2 linked regions of the Drosophila melanogaster genome follow. The protein of the gene in region 1 interacts with the protein of each later gene in a pairwise test. Each region holds a gene or a part of one and is shown in the gene's direction. Other genes may lie near its edges.

Evidence for each region.
Region 2: the proteins of CG3632 (region 1) and CG3225 interact in a two-hybrid assay, tested with the Drosophila melanogaster proteins (one large-scale study listed by BioGRID).

What each region holds. Positions count from the first base shown.
Region 1 is NC_004354.4:16,294,849-16,302,708, forward strand, and holds the start of CG3632 (uncharacterized protein), read left to right. Parts: upstream 1-1,822; 5' UTR 1,823-1,927; coding exon 1,928-1,942; exon of another isoform or gene 1,943-2,059; intron 2,060-2,234; exon of another isoform or gene 2,235-2,391; intron 2,392-2,793; exon of another isoform or gene 2,794-2,812; coding exon 2,813-2,936; intron 2,937-3,000; coding exon 3,001-3,992; intron 3,993-4,171; coding exon 4,172-4,362; intron 4,363-4,427; coding exon 4,428-4,623; intron 4,624-4,691; coding exon 4,692-4,877; intron 4,878-4,946; coding exon 4,947-5,111; intron 5,112-5,182; coding exon 5,183-5,309; intron 5,310-5,377; coding exon 5,378-5,483; intron 5,484-5,549; coding exon 5,550-5,860; intron 5,861-5,922; coding exon 5,923-6,027; intron 6,028-6,090; coding exon 6,091-6,676; intron 6,677-6,752; coding exon 6,753-6,903; intron 6,904-6,964; coding exon 6,965-7,069; intron 7,070-7,361; coding exon 7,362-7,564; intron 7,565-7,860. Other genes in the region: ERp44 (endoplasmic reticulum protein 44), read right to left, coding at 1-270, 375-466, 1,199-1,283, 1,462-1,518.
Region 2 is NT_033779.5:4,815,109-4,820,017, reverse strand, and holds CG3225 (uncharacterized protein), read left to right. Parts: upstream 1-1,772; 5' UTR 1,773-1,851; coding exon 1,852-1,980; intron 1,981-2,044; coding exon 2,045-2,136; exon of another isoform or gene 2,137-2,202; coding exon 2,203-2,296; intron 2,297-2,354; coding exon 2,355-4,076; 3' UTR 4,077-4,102; intron 4,103-4,126; exon of another isoform or gene 4,127-4,160; 3' UTR 4,161-4,235; coding exon of another isoform or gene 4,236-4,338; 3' UTR 4,339-4,394; downstream 4,395-4,909. Other genes in the region: CG15629 (uncharacterized protein), read right to left, coding at 4,236-4,338, 4,395-4,909.

The sequences.
Region 1 (7,860 bases):
CAGAATGAGGCGCTTCTTCGAGTCCAGGTTCTCCAGATCCTTCAGGGATTTGAACTCCTGAATGGGATCCTCCAGCTGCTTCTTGACGAACTCGAGGAACGCTTCGGCTGAACGCTGTCCTCGGTATTCGCGCTTGCTGAGCTGCCCATTGCGTACAATTTTCAATGTTGGATACTTGTTTATGTGGAAACGGGACGCGATGGCCGTTTCCTTGTCGCAATCGACCTTGCCTAGCACCACTTTTCCAGCCTCTGGAAACTCCTCTTTAATCTGTAAGAGAAATTCGATTGAATGCCACGTATTTATTCGATATAAAATGTATATGAATGTATCGCATTGTTTGTAAGCTTTTACTGGCGATCCATTTGACTCACCTTATCTGCAGCTTCCGCGAATATAGGTGCTAAAATATTACTAAACCGACACCACTCCGCATAAAAATTAAGGAAAACCAATTCATTAGACGCTGCAAGAAAACAAAACGTGTTTTTAATGTAGGCACCAAATTGTGTGTAAAATTGTTGATGCGTAGAATACAACTCCGTTCAGATACTAAATATAATAACTTTTAAAAACATATATTTGGTAATATATTTATATCAATATTGAATTACGGGTTTATGTATTAATAATTTAAATGCATATGTATTTTTATGGAATATATTTAAATTTGTCGCTGAATATACATATTAAAGTCAAGAAATTTCTAGCATCCTACTATTCCATAACTTCCGAAAGTTAAAATTTAAGGGGTGCAAGCCTAAGGCCAGGCTTTACTGTAAAAGTTAACGTTTGGATAATAAAAAAAAATAACTTTAAAAAAACAATATAGTATTACCGCAGGATTGTGTACAGGACACACCGTATAAAAAGGACCTATTCATGCAAAGACCAAACTTCGGACATTCTGAGCAAAGAACTGCCGACCAATGGCTAGTGCCCATTTTGGCGGACTATCGGACCGATGCAGCATGAAATATAAACCGCCCTAATTAAGTTTTATCCAAATTCCACACCTTGTCCTTTACGAAAGCGCATAAAACTTATTTTACCACGTTGGCAGTGCCGAATTGAGCGAGCCAGTGATTTTGTTTAGTGACACGTCAATGGGACAAGTCGGCTAATTGATTCCCGCTCACGCTGGCAGCGGGAATGGCATGGGGATGACTGTGATGGTTATGGTATGGGCATATCTCACCTAGGGTCATATCGATATTATCACTGGTCATGGGCACGGCTCCGGCGGCATCGGCCGGCTGTGTGTACTGGAGTAGCTGTAGAATCTGTAAATTCCATAGGATGTCAGTTCTGGTTAGTTAGTTATTTGGTTAGGGGGAGCCAAAAAAAAGCCGGGGCTGTCTGGCCGGCCCCTCCCCACTGTTTCCCCGCCCGCTGATCGAGCGGGTGAGCCACTCCAGTGACCAGCAACATGACCAGACAGAACGGAACACGTCGACTCACCGCAACTAGGGCCACACACGGCCCAAGCTTTCCGATTCCGATTCTGGCTCCAAACATTCTTGTTCGGCTTCCGAATGGCGAATGCGGCTGGCGAGGAGTGGGCGTAGAATTGCGTGCACCGGCGGAGAGTCCAAGCGATCGGTTCTCTTTTTTTCTGATTTCAGTTACACATCAGCTGGAATGGAATGCAAACGTACGCACAATTATTAAGTTTTACAAATTTTTGGTTGATTTTATCGGCTGGCCAGTGTTGGTTAGTCTCGAATGCACATCTCATCGGCAATCGAGTAACGATAGCTTAGTCACATGACTTGGCCATCGCTAACAGCAGCGATAACAGCGATAGCAGCAAACAACGATAGCAATTTCAATGGAAATGAAACAAAAAGTGTCTAAATGAATACATATGCATACATATGTATGTGCAACAACATTTGCAAATCTTTGTTTATAATAGCTGACGCTTATGGATTTTATGGTGGTAAATAGAGCGAGAAAATCTAGAAGCCAAGCGCGTTTTCAATTCGGCAATACGTTTTGAGCTAAATACCCCGAAAAGTCTGCTGAGCGAACGGTTTGTGGAATCCAAAAACCAAATGTGTGTGCATACATATGTACGATTGTAATGTGTTATTGTTGCTCCCCGAAATATCGAAACACAAACATACCTACATAGACAAATATACATATGAGTTTATGCAAACATACACATGCGTAAATGTTTAATTACTTTGTTTATGACAACATACACGGCCATTAGAATACGTTGAGTACGATAATCGGCCATTTTTCGCCTATTGGCTATGAAATCGTGATAATCTAGTCTATTGGTATATATGTGCGTGCGTATGTAATGCAGCGACACACAAATATGTGCATACTATATATTGCGCACCTTGTGGAACTGCAACTGTGTGTGCTCACATAAATGTATGTTCATTGTACATTGTACATCCATACGTGCATATATATGCAGTGCATTATCTATATTGCCACCACGACACTCAAAAACTCAAATATTAACTTCGATTTGTTCTAAAAGTGTTGATTGTGCCCAATTTATCATCCCAGTGACATTTATTTGGCTTTGTTTGTGCACTGCTTAATGCACATGCACATATGTGCATAGTATTATTTATTTATTTATGGGAGCCACTATACTATACGTATCGAATCGTCCCAATAACATCGCACACACACTGTTGTGCGTAATTATGTATTCGGATGGTGGATATAAGAGATATATGCACTTATAAGCGATAACCGGATTTCCAATGACACCCAAATCGCCTTGCCTAAATATAAGCAAATAAGTAATTTCGAATACGTTACATGTTAAGTATTCTTTTAGCCGATTCACACAATGTCCGATGGATCACCGCCTCCATCGATTTGCTTTATCCGTGCCGCCGAATCGTATCCAAAGTCACAAATGGAGAAGGAAGACTCCCAGCTGTTCGTCCCGTTTCAAGAGTGTAGGTGTTCCCCCATATGCTGTAACCGATAACACATGCTAATCTATAGTATATATACCACTAGTGGCCGGCGAATCGATTAAGTACCTGGGGCGCACGGATGATGGTATCCTCGCCCTGTCCAATTATCGGATATTCCTTTCCAAGCAGTCAACCGGCTACGAGACCTACGTTCCATTGGGATTAATCGAATCCGTACAGGTGCGAGATCTGTTCCAGCTGATTGTCAATTGTAAGGATGCCAGCACTGTGCGCTGCTCCTTTCCGTCGGCGGAACAGTGCTCCGACTGGCAGCGCCGGATCCATCTGATGATCGGGGTTCCCGAGTCACTGGAGACACTCTTCGCCTTTCCCTTCTACTCCTGGACCTGCGATGTGCTCGGAAGTGGCAATGGAAGCGGTATCGTTAGCGCCCAGGCCAACGGAAACGGCCTGATTGCCAAGGATCGTTGCCTAACGCTACACAATGGCTTGGCAAAGCCAACAGCCAACGTCACAGCGTCGAATCCTCTGCCCGATCCTGCCAGCGAGACCATCTCAGCCGCCATGAGCAATCGCCTGCAACGATCAGTGCGCTATGAAAGCGACTTTAAGAACGAGGTTGCCCGCTTGGGATTCGATCTGAAGGGCTCGTGGCGCATCTCCACGGCCAATGCCGATTTTAAGCTCTGTCCCTCGTATCCACCCAAATTGCTTGTGCCCTGCTGTATCACCGATGAGATGCTCCACAACGTGGCCAACTTCCGGGGATCACGAAGGCTGCCGGCTGTCGTCTGGCGGCACCAAAAGTCGGGTGCCATCTTGGCCCGATGCAGCCAGCCGGAGGTCGGTTGGCTCGGCTGGCGCAACACAAGGGACGAGCAGCTACTCAAGGCACTCGCCGATGCCTGTGCCTTTGACAGGGGCGAGCACGCCAGGCATTCCACCTGCGCCAATGCAAAGGCGCAACCAACAAAGGGCTCCAAGGAGACCAACGGCCAGTCGGGCTTATCCGGCAAGAGTTCACCATCTCTGGACGATTCCTCGCATGAGGAACTCACGCTGGATGAAATCAAGGTAAGTTTATTACCAAAATAGCCGGGTATTCTTGAAATGAAGGTTTCAGTTACCATATAAGAAAACATTCATGAATAATTATCATAAATTACTTAACACGGAGCAGTAAAATGATGTCAAAACCGCCAAGTGCTAATGAAATAATTTGATCATTGCTCTTAAATTGTATTTGCTTTCAGAAAATCCTCATTGTGGATGCTCGCAGCTACACCTCCGCAGTTACAAATCGTGCCAGAGGTGGCGGCTGTGAGTGCATCGAGTACTATCCCTGTGCAGAGATTGAGTTTATGAACTTGGGCAACATCCACGCCATTCGAAAGAGTTTCCACGCTGTCCGACAGCTATGCGCGTCATCCCCCGATGATCCAAAGTAAGTTTACTAGCTGATTATTAAAGATATATATATATTTATGTAATGGAATCATATTCTTGCAGCTGGTACGGACAACTGGAAAAGACCATGTGGATGCAGCACCTGTCGGGTCTGCTGGGAGCCACCATGACCGTTGTGCACACCATCGAGAAGAATGGACGACCCGTCCTTGTACATTGCTCAGACGGTTGGGATCGCACTCCACAGATCGTGGCCACGGCGCAATTATGTTTGGATCCCTACTACAGAACGGTTGAGGTACGTTGATATACATCAACATTTGTGTTCTATGGACTAATACTCTACCTACTTGCTTGTATTTGCAGGGGTTCCGCGTTCTTGTCGAGCGTGAATGGCTGAACTTTGGACACAAATTCGCCGATCGCTCTGGAAATGGTCCCAATTCCGATGAAGTTAACGAGCGATGTCCAGTTTTTCTGCAGTGGCTTGATCTTGTGCATCAAATACACAGGCAGTATCCATGCAGTTTTGAGTTTAGTATAAGCTATTTGGTAAGTGGTGGCATGGAATTTCGCACGGAGTTGTGCACATTAACTCCTTGTTATATGCATTCTTTTTAGATCAAACTGGCGCAACATTCGTTGTCCTGTCTCTTCGGCACGTTCCTATGTAATTCGCTCAGAGAACGCATCGAGAATTCAGTTTTCGACCGAACGTTTTCCGTGTGGCCATTTTTAGCGGAAACTATGTATAGAAATCCTCTCTATAAGCATGAGACTGAAAAGGTGGTTAATAACTTGATATATGCTGTCAGCCTAAAGGAGAATGCTAATGATTTTTGTGTTTTTTTTTTTAGGTTCTTTGGCCAGCGCACAGTGTGCGGTTTTTATATTTTTGGTCTGATGTATACCTTGGTAGTTTAGGCAACAAAAATGGAACTGATCTACCATTACTAAGTAATGAAAGACAGAGCGGACACAATGGTGAGTTGAGTAGAGTACTCCTAATTGAAATTGACTCACTTTTTACTCCTTACTGCCACAACCAATAGGCCTCATGGCGAAGACACGATCTTCTGAAGACTTAACAACGAATGAGTTGGGACAGAGCACCATTTCCAGGAGGTCCAGTGATCCCAACCTGACCGTTGAATCCATGTAGGTCAACTGAAGATTATTTGATCCGGCAGCAAAATGAATTTCGTTCTTTTCCCTACGATTCAGTGTTACAGATTGTTTCAATGCCAATAGCAACTCGATGTTTGACATACGATCCGAGGCCAACAACAGTGTTAGCGAAAATGTCCAAGAAAGTGTTAAAGACTCCAAAGAAGTAGAGCTGGACGTGACGGATGCAACTGAAGTAGGTCCATGTGGCCGTTCAAATAATCCCATTCCAGATTTCCATAACGACCAAAGTACAGCTTCTAAACGTGATATATTGGAAGTGGAATCACAAACGCAAAGGCGAAGTTCCTTGGAGTCCTCACAGCTGATCCCTGGGTCTGTCTTCATTTTTGGCTCATCCGAAAACGGTAAAAGATGTTAGGATAAAGCAAAAGAACTTAACTAAACTTAACTACCTTAATGGTTTTAGATAAAAATGCAGTTCCTTCGGAATCTGAAGAATCCTTGGCGACCTCACAGAAACTGAACTCTGAATCTGGGCGACCTTTTTTCATATTTGGTTCATCCGAAAACGGTAAGAGATGTTAGAATGAAGAATAGAATGAATACGTTACATTAACTATCTTAATGATTTCAGATCAAAGTCCAGTTCCTTTAAAATCTGAAGACACAAGTGATATTTCTCGCGCCCTGTGGCATGGCGCAATTGAAACCAGCACTGATACCCTTATTCCTGCGGAGCCCGTACAAAAACCAAACAGCGACAATAGCAGTAGAGATCACATAACATCCCCCACAATGGAACTGGTCAGTGGTGATAGAAAGCTGGAGTCGACTAGCACTGTCCAAGCCAGTAAAATCAGTCAGAGCTACAATAATTTGCCCAAGGTACACATAAGACCGAATGCCGTTATATGCCCGCAGCGGGTAGACGCTTTTCCCCATCACCTGGACCTACAAGTGCCAAGGGAGACGACGGGAAATCCGGACCGTTGCAAGCCGGAAAAGTTAGCCAAAGATGCAAATGCGAATGCCAATGCCAACGGATCCCTGCTGGCATCCGATGGCTACAACGGCGAGGAAAGTCTCTTTATATCACCCGACCTTCAGCGGTTCGTGGGCCAGTCGCCATTCGATGCTCCCTCGACGGGCGGACGAATACGGCGAAATACCTTCGGCTCGAGCTACAGTCGCGATATGAAGTTCACGGCTGAAAATGGCAGGTGAGTTGTGTGTACTTTCTCACTGGTGGCATCTCCCATTGGACTGAATCAAAAAAAAAAAAAACTCTACTTTCAGCGCACACCAATTTCCGTCGTCGGGGATCATTTCGTTGCCCCCAACACCATTTCAGGAGAGGGCTCAGTTCACTATATCCTGTCCAGATGGCCTGGCTCACGGACTCAGCGAACAAAACATAAGACTCCACCAAATCGTACAAGAACACAAGGTGAGCTCCGGTGCAAAAGCAGTTTTCATTATAGTCATTTTAATCACATACACTATTTCAGCTACGTGAGGAAATGCTACTGCGAGAAATACACGGTATGCGACTGGCTCTGTTGGAAAAAGGTTGCCCCAGCTGCAACAGCATCGTTTCGACAAATATGGAACATGTAAATAATGATCGTTTAAGATACAAAATGCGTGCATATATTCTTGAAAAGCGTGGTTAATGTTAGTTATAGACCCTCGGTGCAAAGTGACTGCCCAATTTGTTTAAAACATGGGCCTTGGTCTTTGGATTCTCACAGTGCATATTCTGTAAAATATGAATTTGTTTCATCCTTAAATCACCAGAGCGCGAAGTGGTGGTGGTGTTTCAATCAGGGGCAATACTCTGCCATCTAATCATAAGTTACAATGTGCATTAACTGTCAGTCGTCTAATTATTTAACTCTTCTCTAGGAAAATGGATCGGATATCGTTGAAAATGCTTCAACATGTTCCTGGGAGGCCGTCGAAGAACGTAGTGGTCCCGCCTCGTATGCCCCTTCCTCGATTCAAGAGAAAAAAGCCTCCAGTGTCCTCTGGGTGCCAGACCATGCAGTTTCGCGTTGCTCTAGTTGTCAAACTGAGTTCTGGCTTGGACGAAGAAAACATCATTGTCGGTGCGCATCCAACACTTGAAACCTTAATGATTTACTCTTAAAAGATTTTTAATATGTATGATTTTCGACTTGAGTTGAATATTACCATTTTTAGCGATACAAAATTCCTAGACCTTAAATGTCAGTAACTAAGACTCGAGTACCTTCTTTATGACTGTGCAATATTACGATTAAATTTGACTATTCAATTTCTTTTCCTAAAGCTCATATTCAACTTGAGTTGAAAGCGTGTTATAATTTTCTTACTTTACTGGGATACATGACTATACTAACAGTGTAAACTATGCTAATCAAGA
Region 2 (4,909 bases), on another chromosome or scaffold:
CTTTTCGCACCACTCGCTGGGTGTCGAGGACGCACAACTCCGGCGTTTGTAATCAGGGTCGTCAACGCGAAACTATAGTTATAATACGTAGATAGAACAAAAGGAACGTACCCTCCACTGGCATTTCCAAGGAAACTTTGCTCGTAAAAGCCGGAATAACAGTTAGCATTCATGCCGCCCTTTAAGTTTTGTGGCATTTAGTCAGGTGCCCAAAGACGGGGGAATCGGAATTTGGATACCGGCAGTGGAGTGCCGACAGCCGTTTGACAGTAAAACTCTGGCCTTGGGCGCATCTATTAAAATTTATATGCAACCGAAACTGGAACTGGACGCCAAACGGACAAGATACACACTGTGCGAAAATGTGACAGCCTCCCATAACCCGCAATGTAACTAAATATTCACTTAACTACTATTAAGTGGGATAGAAGGCAAATGAAATGACTAATCCATATGCACAGCGGAAATTATTATATTTTAGTATTTGCAATTTAAGATGTAGTACTAAATACTGAAGCATCGTTCTTAACACTTTTCGAAACTATAATCTTTCTCATGTAGCGAAGATACCTCTTTACCTGTGATGCTGATATCAGCTTGAGTGGAAAGTGAAAACATTTTTTCTCAGTGCCTTTTAGTTGAAGCACTTTCCGCGGACGGCGGTGTTGACAAACTGCTCGCAGAGTTTTTGGCTTTCGCTTGGCTTTGGCGACTTGGCGCCTCGTCCTTGGCATGAAGTTCGCCGCTGGCCTTTAATTAGCTTTTCTCGGATTACTCATACGCCATGGGGGCTGGGCTCGGGTCGAGTGGAGTGGAGTGGAGCTGGGCTCCATTGTTTCAGCACTGGCATGCGGATGTGGTTGGTCAAACGTGCATGTCGGGCACGTGTTTTGCTTTGGCTTGAAATTGGTGGTTGGGTTCGGATCGCATCGGATGGGGTTAAAGTTAAAGCGAGCGTTCTTAATGTCAGGGTCAATGCAGAATACGGGGGTCCTGCATGTGTGGAATCGACGGCCATCTTACTCGTCCCAATATTGGCGGCATGCATATAATACCCACTGACGGTGCATAAATCAAAATATATACAAAAAAAAAAATACAAGCGGGCAAAACAATGTGTGTGTTTTGTTGCTCGAGAGATACAATACAATATTTATTCAAAAGCAATTGGCCGGGCGCTTCTGTCGCCGACAGCTGCACAAAACTCGGGGGACACTTTTGACACACACACGTGGCCAGGGCGACCTTATAGTACATAATGAGTTTGCTGGGTATGCAGAGGAGCAAAGTGGCCTTGCCACTGGCAATTAGAGTTATTTTCACTAGCAATAGGGGACATGTCGGTGCTGCAACGTGCCCGCAAAATGGACAAAAACATGTGCATGAATAATACAGGTGAATGTTATGGACATTTGCCACCATTGGGGCTCGTGAAATGGTCGACTAAATCAAATATATTATAATTTGTGGGTACCAAAGGTATAAGCTTGAGGTACTAGCCAAACAATTTCTAAAAACTAATATTTTGCATTTTTAAATCTTAACTAAAATATAGTGAAATTTGATTATCCTCTTTTCTTATAGACCTCAACTAGGCGACTGTATACTTAGTGATTAAGTAAATACTTAGGTTTTTGGGCAATTCAACTTATTATATAGTTGATGGTTATCGTTAATCGAAATTTCAATACAATGCAATTTCCCGCCAAATAAAAGTGTGACCATTAGTTTATATTAAACGAAATTCCTAACATTCTTTTGCGCGCTTTGGTATTTTGCACCAATGCATTGAGTCCATCAGCTGTTTATTTAATTTCAAAACTGAATCTATAACGAAGTAAATAATTGAAAATGAGCACTTTTAAGCCAAAGTTCCTAAAACCCGAGACGGACGATGCAATCACAGATAGTGCCGGTGGTGAACAGCAGTCCTCCGCCTTTGTATTCAATGTCAATCACAATATGGGACTCATGGAGCAGGTGGGCTTACAAAATATTTCGTAAACATTTGCTAGAATAACAAATTAAACTTAAATTATTACAGAGGGAACGTTTGCCCATTCGTCAGTACCGGGATCAAATACTTTACTGCTTGGAAAAGCATCAAGTGGTCATACTAGTGGGTGAAACAGGCAGGTTTGTATGGAATTCCATGAGCTTCAAAGTAATGCTTCTAACTCTGTGGTTTTTCATATTTCCCAGTGGCAAGAGCACCCAGGTGCCACAGTATTTGTATGAATGGGGCTGGCACACCAAGGGACTCATTGGCATCACCGAACCACGACGCGTTTCCACCGTAAGTAATCCTAAAGCAAAGCAACTATAAAATCTAAAACTAAAGACTTCATTTCCAGGTTACGCTGGCTAATCGCGTGGCACAGGAACGCGGCGAACTGGTAGGTGACACGGTGGGCTATGTAGTTCGCTTCCTGGAAAGCATGAGCTCCTGTACCAAAATCAAGTTCATGACCGAGGGCATCTTGCTGAGGGAAGTCCTAGCCGATCCGCTGCTCACCCAATATGGTGTTATCATCGTGGACGAGGCGCACGAGCGGAATATGCTCACCGACATGATTTTGGGACTGCTCAAGAAGATCCTTCGCAAACGCAGCTCGCTCAAGCTCATCATTTCATCGGCCACCATAGATGCAAGCTTCTTCAGCGAGTTCTTCAGCTGGCCAGGATCGGGCGAAGTGAGCGTTAAGCTAAGCATTGAAGGTCGCATGCATCCTGTGAGTAATTTCTATCTGAACGAACCCTGCGCCGATTATGTGAAGGAAACTGTGGAGACCGTCTGGAAACTGCATCAAAAGGAGCCGCCTGGCGACATTTTGGCCTTCCTAACTGGCCAGGAGGAAGTCCTGGAGGCGCTGGATCTTCTGCGCGAATACATCGCCAGTTCGGAACAGGAGAATCTCAAGGTGCTGCCCATGTATGGTAGTATGTCGAGCACTGATCAGTTGTCGGTATTCTTTACCCCGCCCAAAGGAACCCGCAAAGTGGTGCTGGCCACGAATATAGCAGAGACCTCCATCACCATTCCGGGCATTGTTTATGTGATAGACTGCGGCTACGTCAAGGTAAAATGGTACAATCCCAAAACCTGCAGTGACAGTTTGGTTATAGTGCCCGTCAGCAAGGCGTCGGCCATCCAGAGAGCAGGACGAGCGGGTCGTATGCGTCCCGGCAAGGTCTATCGTTTGTACACTAAATCAGACTATGAAGCACTAGCTCCTCGGCAGCCACCCGAAATGCGACGCAGCGAATTGAGCGGCGCTATCTTGCAGTTAAAGGCGCTGGGCATCGGGAACATATTGCGCTTTGATTTCCCATCGCCACCACCGGCACAGAATCTACTTTCCGCACTGGAGAGTCTATTTGCCTTGGACGCCATCGATGAGCAGGGCAATCTGACGAAGCCCGTGGGTTACCTGTTGGCCGAACTCCCCTTCAGCGCTATGCTCTCCAAAATGCTCTATGTTTCCGGTCAGATGGGCTGCTCCGAGGAGATCATAACCATCATTGCGTTGCTGCAGGTGCAGTCTATATTTTCGCGCCCAGCTTCAGCGGTTGCCCAACAAAGTGGACGCATTGCACATCGAAAATTCGAAGTTGCGGAAGGGGACTTTATTACGATGTTGAACGCTTACACTGGCTTCGTGGAGGAGGGCATGACCAAGGAGTTCTGTGGCCAATACTTCCTCATCTACAGGAATCTTAAGAGGGCCCACTCGCTGAGGGAGCAACTCATCACAGTGGCCAGAAAGAAGTACGGCATTCCAATCTTCTCGTGCAAGGGCGATGTGGAAAAGTTGTGCAAGTGCATCACCGCCGGCTTCTTCACACAGGTGGCCTATCTGCATCACTCTGGAGTTTATAGACAAATCAGCAGCGGCACTGAACTGGCCATTCATCCGAACTCCACTCTCTACACACTTCCTCAAGCTCAGTACGTGGTCTATGGGGAACTGCTCCAAACGACGAAATTGTTCATGAACTACGTGACCGTAATCAAGAGAGAGTGGCTGACGGAGCTGGCGCCGCATTATTACCAACAGACCACAGTGCGGGATTAGCAGGAACTAAAGCCTTAATGATAGGTGTAAGTCTATTAAAATAGTTCATTAAATCAAATAACTAAGTTTATTGTAAAATTATAGGTGAAACGATGCCGCCTCTTGAAAAAGAACTTAAGCTTAGGTAATGGATTCCATATGATGATTCCTATTGTGTGTTTAACCAGCGGCGACGCGCCCTCGTCCCTGAAACATCATCATAGACTCGGGTCCACGGATGACACGCGACATCAGCTCCCAGCACATTTTGGCGGGCAAAAGACTGAGAAAACCAGCATTAATTACATTGTATATAACTATGTTAAATAGACTACTTACCATTTGAGAGGAGTGAGCAGGCGAATAGAGTTGGGCAGCACGCACCACACCTCGTTGCAGCGCACGGCGTTCTCGATGCGATCCGCCACATACTGCGGCTCCAGCATGGGCATCATCCGCGGCCGAACACCCGAAAACATGCCCGTGTTGATGTAGTACGGGCAGATCAAACTCATTTGGATTTGATCATAGCCATGGGCCTTCAGATCGGTGAGCAAACTCTCGTGGAAACCGATGCAGGCGTATTTGGTGGCCGCGTAGTCACTGCATCCGTAGGTGCCCAGCATTCCAGTTACCGAGCCCACAGTAACGATATGACCACGATTATTGCGCATCATGTGAGGCAGAAACGCTTTCACGGTCCAGTAGTGCGATATGATGTTAATGTTGTACGTGTTCTGGATGACCCGATCGTGCAGCTCCCAGAAGGGTTTGCAGCACACGATACCGGCATTGTTAATCAATATGTCGACGGGACCAACCTCCTCGGTCACCTGGCTGGCACGCTGGTAGAT